Drosophila melanogaster: one gene and its partner. The protein of the gene in region 1 interacts with the protein of each later gene in a pairwise test. Each region holds a gene or a part of one and is shown in the gene's direction. Other genes may lie near its edges. The genes, in order: Cyp6a23 and Rchy1.

What was found.
Region 2: the proteins of Cyp6a23 (region 1) and Rchy1 interact in a two-hybrid assay, tested with the Drosophila melanogaster proteins (one large-scale study listed by BioGRID).

Annotation. Positions count from the first base shown.
Region 1 is NT_033778.4:14,873,993-14,877,919, forward strand, and holds Cyp6a23 (cytochrome P450 6a23), read left to right. Parts: upstream 1-1,836; 5' UTR 1,837-1,868; coding exon 1,869-2,955; intron 2,956-3,020; coding exon 3,021-3,442; 3' UTR 3,443-3,662; downstream 3,663-3,927. Other genes in the region: Cyp6a17 (cytochrome P450 6a17), read left to right, coding at 1-1,071, 1,132-1,553; Cyp6a19 (cytochrome P450 6a19), read left to right, coding at 3,808-3,927. UniProt on the Drosophila melanogaster protein: May be involved in the metabolism of insect hormones and in the breakdown of synthetic insecticides.
Region 2 is NT_033779.5:6,463,360-6,467,286, reverse strand, and holds the start of Rchy1 (ring finger and CHY zinc finger domain containing 1), read left to right. Parts: upstream 1-1,617; 5' UTR 1,618-1,758; intron 1,759-3,147; 5' UTR 3,148-3,443; coding exon 3,444-3,927. Other genes in the region: HemK1 (HemK methyltransferase 1), read left to right, coding at 1-468, 523-763.

The DNA of each region.
Region 1 (3,927 bases):
CGCTAATCGTTGTGATACTATCACTGCTCGTCTTCGCGGCCCGACGACGTCATGGATACTGGCAGAGAAGGGGCATACCGCACGACGAGGTACACCCGCTTTTCGGAAACATCAAGGACTGGCCAAATAAGCGGCACATTGCCGAGATCTTTCGGGACTATTACTTCAAGTACAAGAACTCCGATTACCCATTCGCTGGATTTTTCTTCTTTTTCACCCGCACTGCTGTGGTCACCGACATGGAATTGCTCAAGAGGGTGCTGATCAAGGACTTCAATCACTTTGAGAATCGGGGAGTCTTCTACAACGAGATCGATGATCCGCTGTCGGCCACCTTGTTCAGCATCGAGGGTCAGAAGTGGCGTCATCTGCGGCACAAACTGACACCCACTTTTACGTCCGGCAAAATGAAGAACATGTTTCCGATTGTTGTGAAAGTTGGAGAAGAAATGGATAAGGTCTTCAGAAGTAAAACCGCTGCGGATCGGGGTCAAGTTTTGGAGGTTGTGGATCTGGTGGCACGGTACACCGCCGATGTGATCGGCAACTGCGCATTCGGTCTCAATTGCAACAGCTTGTACGATCCAAAGGCTGAATTTGTGTCAATTGGCAAGCGGGCGATCACCGAGCATCGCTACGGGAATATGCTGGATATATTCCTCTTTGGATTTCCCAAGTTATCGCGCCGCTTACGTCTGAAACTAAATATCCAGGAGGCAGAGGACTTTTACACCAAGATCGTGAGGGAAACCATTGACTACCGTCTACGGACGAAGGAAAAGCGAAATGATTTCATGGACAGTCTGATAGAGATGTATAAGAATGAGCAGTCGGGAAATTCGGAGGATGGCCTGACCTTTAACGAACTTCTCGCTCAGGCTTTCATATTTTTTGTGGCTGGGTTTGAGACAAGCTCCACGACCATGGGATTCGCTCTATATGAGCTGGCCAGGAACCAGGATGTTCAGGATAAACTCAGGGAGGAGATTGGCAATGTGTTCGGCAAGCATAACAAAGAGTTCACCTACGAGGGAATCAAGGAGATGAAATACCTGGAGCAGGTTGTGATGGGTATGTTTCTTTAATCCTTCTTATTTTTTATTTGATACATTTATTTAAATATTGTTTTAGAAACGCTGCGAAAGTACCCAGTACTGGCTCATCTTACAAGAATGACTGACACCGACTTTTCGCCTGAAGATCCAAAATACTTCATTGCCAAGGGAACCATTGTTGTGATCCCAGCTTTGGGCATTCACTATGATCCGGACATATATCCGGAACCGGAGATATTCAAGCCAGAACGCTTTACCGACGAGGAAATCGCGGCGAGACCCTCGTGCACTTGGCTTCCATTTGGAGAAGGTCCGCGGAACTGCATTGGTCTGCGGTTTGGAATGATGCAAACCTGTGTGGGCTTGGCCTACTTGATCAGGGGCTATAAATTCAGTGTTTCCCCGGAAACTCAAATACCCATGAAGATTGTCGTTAAGAACATTCTGATATCGGCCGAGAATGGTATCCACCTTAAAGTGGAGAAGCTCGCCAAATAAGTTTTTAACAAATACATTATTTGTGTTCTTTATTTTGCTTGATTCACTTACGTGATCGATTAGATTAGGCTGTGCTCAGTTAATATGAATTTAAGCCCTCTTTAACTAACCTTTTTAATGTGTTATGTGTTAGGCAATGTTTTGATTTGCTAGCAAACATCACATAATAAGGCATACACACACCGAAAGCAATAATATTCGCTTTATCAACTAGCTTCTGAGTACATTTGAAGAGATTAGAAGAGAACGTTCGCGTATAAAGGGGCCATATCATTCCGGTTGGTAACTCAGTGTGGAGCGGACTGAGAACGAAATATGTCGCTGTTACTAACGTTGATCGCACTTCTAGTGTCACTGCTTTTGTTCATGGCCCGCCGACGTCATGGATACTGGCAGAGGCGGGGTATTCCGCACGATGTGCCCCATCCAATATACGGAAACATGAAGGACTGGCCCAAGAAGCGACACATTGCGATGATCTTCCGGGACTACTATACAAAGTACAAACGTTCCGTTTATCCGTTTGCCGGGTTCTACTTCTTTTTCACCCGGTCTGCTGTCATCACCGACTTGGAATTGGTCAAGAGGGTGCTGATCAAGGACTTCAATCACTTTGAGAATCGAGGAATTTTCTACAATGAGATCGATGATCCGCTGTCGGCCACCTTGTTCAGCATCGAGGGTCAGAAGTGGCGTCATCTGAGGCACAAACTGACACCCACTTTTACGTCCGGCAAAATGAAGAACATGTTTCCGATTATTGTGAAGGTTGGGGAGGAAATGGAGAAGATTTTCAGTGCTAAAACCACCACAGGTGAAGGTCAAGTTCTGGAAATTGTGGATCTGGTGGCTCGATATACGGCTGACGTAATCGGTAATTGCGCCTTCGGTTTAAATTGCAATAGTTTGCAAAACCCGAATGCAGAGTTTGTGACAATCGGAAAAAGGGCGATCATAGAACGTCGTTATGGAGGACTATTGGATTTCCTGATATTCGGATTTCCCAAACTTTCCCGCCGCCTGCGGCTTAAACTAAACGTGCAGGATGTTGAGGACTTTTACACTAGCATTGTTAGGAATACTATCGACTACCGATTGAGGACCAACGAGAAGCGTCACGACTTCATGGACAGTTTAATCGAAATGTACGAGAAGGAGCAGGCCGGAAACACTGAGGATGGCCTGTCCTTCAACGAGATCTTGGCACAGGCCTTTATTTTCTTTGTGGCTGGCTTCGAGACCAGCTCGACGACCATGGGATTTGCCCTGTACGAGCTCGCCCTCGATCAGGATATTCAGGATCAACTTAGGGCGGAGATCAACAATGTTCTGAGCAAACACAACAACGAGTTTACCTACGAGGGAATCAAAGAGATGAAGTATCTGGAGCAGGTCGTCATGGGTAAGTAAAATCCCAAGAGGTTGCATAACTTTACCTAAAGGGCCTTTTCCCATTTTACGCCACAGAAACCCTTCGCAAGTATCCAGTTCTGGCGCATCTAACGCGAATGACCCAGACAGATTTTTCGCCTGAAGATCCTAAATACTTTATTGCCAAGGGAACCACTGTTGTGATCCCAGCTCTTGGTATTCACTATGATCCGGAAATCTATCCCGAACCGGAGAAGTTCAAGCCGGAGCGATTTACGGATGAGGCGATCGCCGCGAGACCCTCGTGCACCTGGCTGCCGTTTGGAGAAGGTCCCCGGAACTGCATCGGTCTTCGGTTTGGACTGATGCAGGCCTGCGTGGGATTGGCCTATCTAATCCGAGGCTATAAGTTCAGTGTGTCCACAGAAACACAAATTCCCATGAAGTTTGTCGTGAAAAGCATTCTTCTGTCTGCTGAGAATGGCATTCACCTTAAAGTTGAGAAGCTTTCCAAATGAGACTATAAACAAAATTATTATGGGCTTTAATGGTTAAATATTACAATTTTATTTGGTCATTTATTCACGGCTATATATGATTTTTTTGAATTAAATCCCTCTTAAAGCTCATATTCAGTATATGAGAGTATAGCATTCAAATTAAGCCTTGTTAGTTTGTTGTTGTAAATTTATTGTAAATATTTGTGGTAATACCCTCAATAAATTTTTGTTCAGCTTTTTTGCTATTAGCACCTCTATCTGGAAGTGAACAGTTAAATTTTCTTGGTTACGACTAAAAAAGAGGAGCAGGCGATAGCTAGATGGAAAGCTCTTCTTCATAAAAGCAACGCTTGGAATTGGTTTCTCAAATCAGTCTGCTCAAAATGGCGATCCTGCTCGGTTTGGTGGTCGGTGTCCTTACGCTCGTCGCTTGGTGGGTGCTCCAGAACTACACCTACTGGAAACGGCGAGGAATTCCCCATGATCCACCCAATATTCCGCTC
Region 2 (3,927 bases), on another chromosome or scaffold:
GGATTTCGAGCGCTTCCTGGAGGCCCGTTGTGCCCGCATGCCGTTGCAGCACATCATTGGCGAGTGGGACTTCATGGACATTACGCTGAAGACATCGCCGTCGGTCTTCATTCCACGCCCCGAAACGGAGGAGTTTATGCGCCTGGTGATCGATGATCACAAGAACGCAAAGCACGTCGATCTTTTGGAGGTGGGCTGCGGCTCGGGCGCCATGTCCTTGTCCATGCTACACAGTCTGCCGCAGGTGGTGGCCACTGCCATTGAGCGTAGCAAGGCGGCAACCGTTCTGGCTGCGGAGAATGCCAAAATGCTGGGGCTGCTGAATCGATTTGAGGTACACAACCACACCATGGAGGAGGACAAGTACCTGCCGGAGGCGCTGAAGGACAAGAAGTACGATTTGATCATCTCCAATCCTCCGTATGTGAAAACTGAGGAGTTTCAGTTTCTGCATCCCGAAGTCGTGGTGTAAGTGATGTTATACCAGATGGATGCAGTGCACTAACTATCTTATATCCCCAGGTATGAGAACCTTAATGCCCTGGACGGTGGGTCCGATGGATTGAGGGTGGCTCGACTGGTTTTCGACTTGGCTTGTCGGCACCTGCGTCCCGGTGGCAAGCTCTGGCTGGAACTGGGCAACGACCACCCGCCGATGGTGAAGACCATTATGAATCTGAAGTACGAGGGCCGGCTCAAGTTCATCGCCGGCTACAGTGACCAGTATCAGCGCGAGAGATTCGTTCAGATCGAGAAGGTCTAGGCGAGATTGCGCCATAGACAGGACGGAATGCTATGACTTTGACAATGCAATTAGCTATAACGTTGCCCATGCATTTAGCTGTGATTTGATTTAAGACCAGACATACCTGCACGCTGCCCAGAGACTCACACCTATATAAACAGAATATATAGCGCTATTAATCCTTAAGTTTCGTCTCTGAATCTTTTAGCAACAACCGCAGGCGGTATTACTTCACAAATATACCTGTATAAATTGCACAATGCAATTAGCTGTTTGATTTATGACCATATTATTATCAGTATACAAAAACCACAACGACTTTTACCTAAGGCTTTCTACTGCATTTTTGATCCTATAATAATGGATTAACATGATTTTAAAGATCAATAGGTTAAAAGTATAATGCACCTATAATAACTGGTCACTGATTTAAACTATGGCGATTATGATTTATAACCAGAGGCTTGCTGCCATAAATTGGAGGGTGTTAATGATCATCGCGGATCGAGTATAATGCTGTTTAATCAAACTGATGTATTCTATATCTGCGATAAGCAAAATGCTAACCATATTTTTGGCCTGAAAGATGTGTATCCTGTCAATATATAGAATCAGAATATTTCTATGCAAATTAGAAAGTTTTTGCTTAAAGTTACCACTTTAATGCTTATAGGTGTACTGATTATGAAAACAAGGACACATGTCCACAAGGATTACCATAATTATGAACCCGAGTGCATAAATCCCCCGACTTCGCATCTGAATCTTGTTGTAACCGCTCCGCTGGAGAGCTTTAAGCTCCGGAGCGGATAAAAGCTCCGACAGAGTGGCTCGGAGCAACAAGTGGCTAACTTCCGTTGCCAGTTGGAAGTCGAAACTCGCGCCGGACGAGTCTGCGGAATCCGGGTGCGCGAGTGGAACGCGGATTTAGATTGTCGTAGCTCTTTAATTCAATTGACGATTTCGAGCTGCGATCTCCTTCGTTCGGCTGGTGTGTGTTGTTTCACTTTCAAGTACGCATACATATGTGTAGTATAATTAACAAATGGCTAAATCATAATTAAAGTCGGAGTTTCAGTGGATATCACAATGAGCGCTTGATGAAAGTCAAGAAGAGGGAACTTAAAAAGCGCCGAAACAAAACAAAAACGAGAAACACGTTAAACGAGAAATTGATTTTAAAAATTCTACATAAATTTGACCATATAGATTTGGGTAAATGAATGAATGTGCATATATATGTACATGTATATATATATACATACGCCCAAACTGCGATTTGAAGGCGGTTTGAATGTGGATTGGAAACTTTTAGAAACCAATTAGCCAGATCGTGACATTACTTAATGCATTTATCCGCCCGATCGACGCGTGCAAGTGTGTGCCTGTGTGCGTGAGTGCGTGCGTGCGTAAACATGAATACCGAATTGAATCGAGTTCAAACTTGCGTTCTTTTCGCCGACTGGTTTTCCGGCGAGGCTGGCTTAATCGCCTTGCGTTTGTAATTTTAGCACACTTTCAATATTTATTGTCGGTCCCTGCTCCCCGGCGCAGAAAATGCGAATAACAATCTGAGCAAACAAGATTCGGCAACGAATTTGCAGCTTGCCGCGCTGTGCAAATAAAAGTATATATAAAAGTATGTACATATATACATTTATATATAGCTGGTAATGCCTCCTTTGGCAGCATCAATATGTGCACCTGCTACGTGCAACACCGACTTGCAGCAACAGCCAACCGATGAGCGAAAGTCGCACGCCGATTGTGTTAACAAGTGTGTGGCTGGCTGCTCCCTGCCCGCATTTTAATTCATCATCCGCACCGTGTGCCAAGGCACTGCGATTCCCAATCCGTGGAGCTGTGAACGTTTTTGGCGACCTGCAGGCTAAGCAAGCGATTTATATGCTGCCGCTCACATGGCACAAGGTCCCATCCAAAAACAGCAGCGGCCAAGATAGTAGTTCATATGCACATATTTGGGTTCTTAACAGGTTAATTGTCATTTTATAATGATATGGGTTTAATAGGTTTCCATATCTGATCCAAAACTATACAGAAATGGAAGAAAGTCATCATAGGTGATCTTTTATTTGATAATTTCTTACATAAAGTTACTACTTCTTGTTCCCCATTGTACGTTGTGTACAGTGCGCGACGGCTAAGAAAACGGAGTGAAAATCAAGATAGTCGTTATCTAGTTTAGATGGCCTTTCGCAGTCGGGGACTGGGAAACATTGAAATGCAAATACGCCGCCTCGGTAGTTTCATTTGTGTGTCAAAAATTGTGTGGGGGTGTGGGGGGTTAACCCGGCTTAGACTCTAATCTGATCGATCGGAGTGTGAGAAATGGCCTGCTAATGGAATACTTACCACTTTCCCACACTTTTCAATCGCTTCAGCCGAGTGTGTCACCTGTGCGAGCCCATTAATACCCAAGGATGAGCTGGACAAACGAAAGTTAGTTGCGATCGCGTGAAAAGGGAAACCGGACAGTCGGTTTTTTGAGTGCGGATACAAAGTCTACATGTGGCACAACGACAACAGCATCGGCCAGTAATTTAAATGCTTCGCGGCGGCAATTGAAAGGGCCAGCAATTAACCACGACTACTGCAGCTGCGAGGCATAGTGGAAAATCACTTTTATAGACGTACATACATAACTCTATATATACATAGAGTTAGCTCCTGCAGCAAAATGAAGAACCGCCAGCGAACGCGCCGAATATCGCTAAATGAAAACCACAACAGATACATGGGCAGCGGCGGCATCGATGTACAAATAGTTACCAATACAAAGGAGCCCAATCAAGTCAATTTAAATTCATCGTCAGCCACGACGACCTCAGCGGAGGCTGCTCTGCCCGCTTCGCTTCCACTTGCTCAGATAGCGCAGCAGCCACATACCCATCCCCATCCCCATCCCAATCCCCATCTCCACCAGCAACACCAGCTGATTGTGACGCCCACAACGATGACGGGCAAGTATCATCCAGCGCACGCCAAGCTGCGAAGATGCAAATCGACGCCGAGTCTCAATTGCGATGGCATGGCGGAGCCCATGGAGGAGGACCAGCTCCATCGCTTTGCAGCATGCTCACGTAACCCCGCCGCGGAGGCTCAGCAGCATGCACAGCCATCGTGCAACAGCAGCAGCAGCAGCAGCGACGGCAGCTGCAACA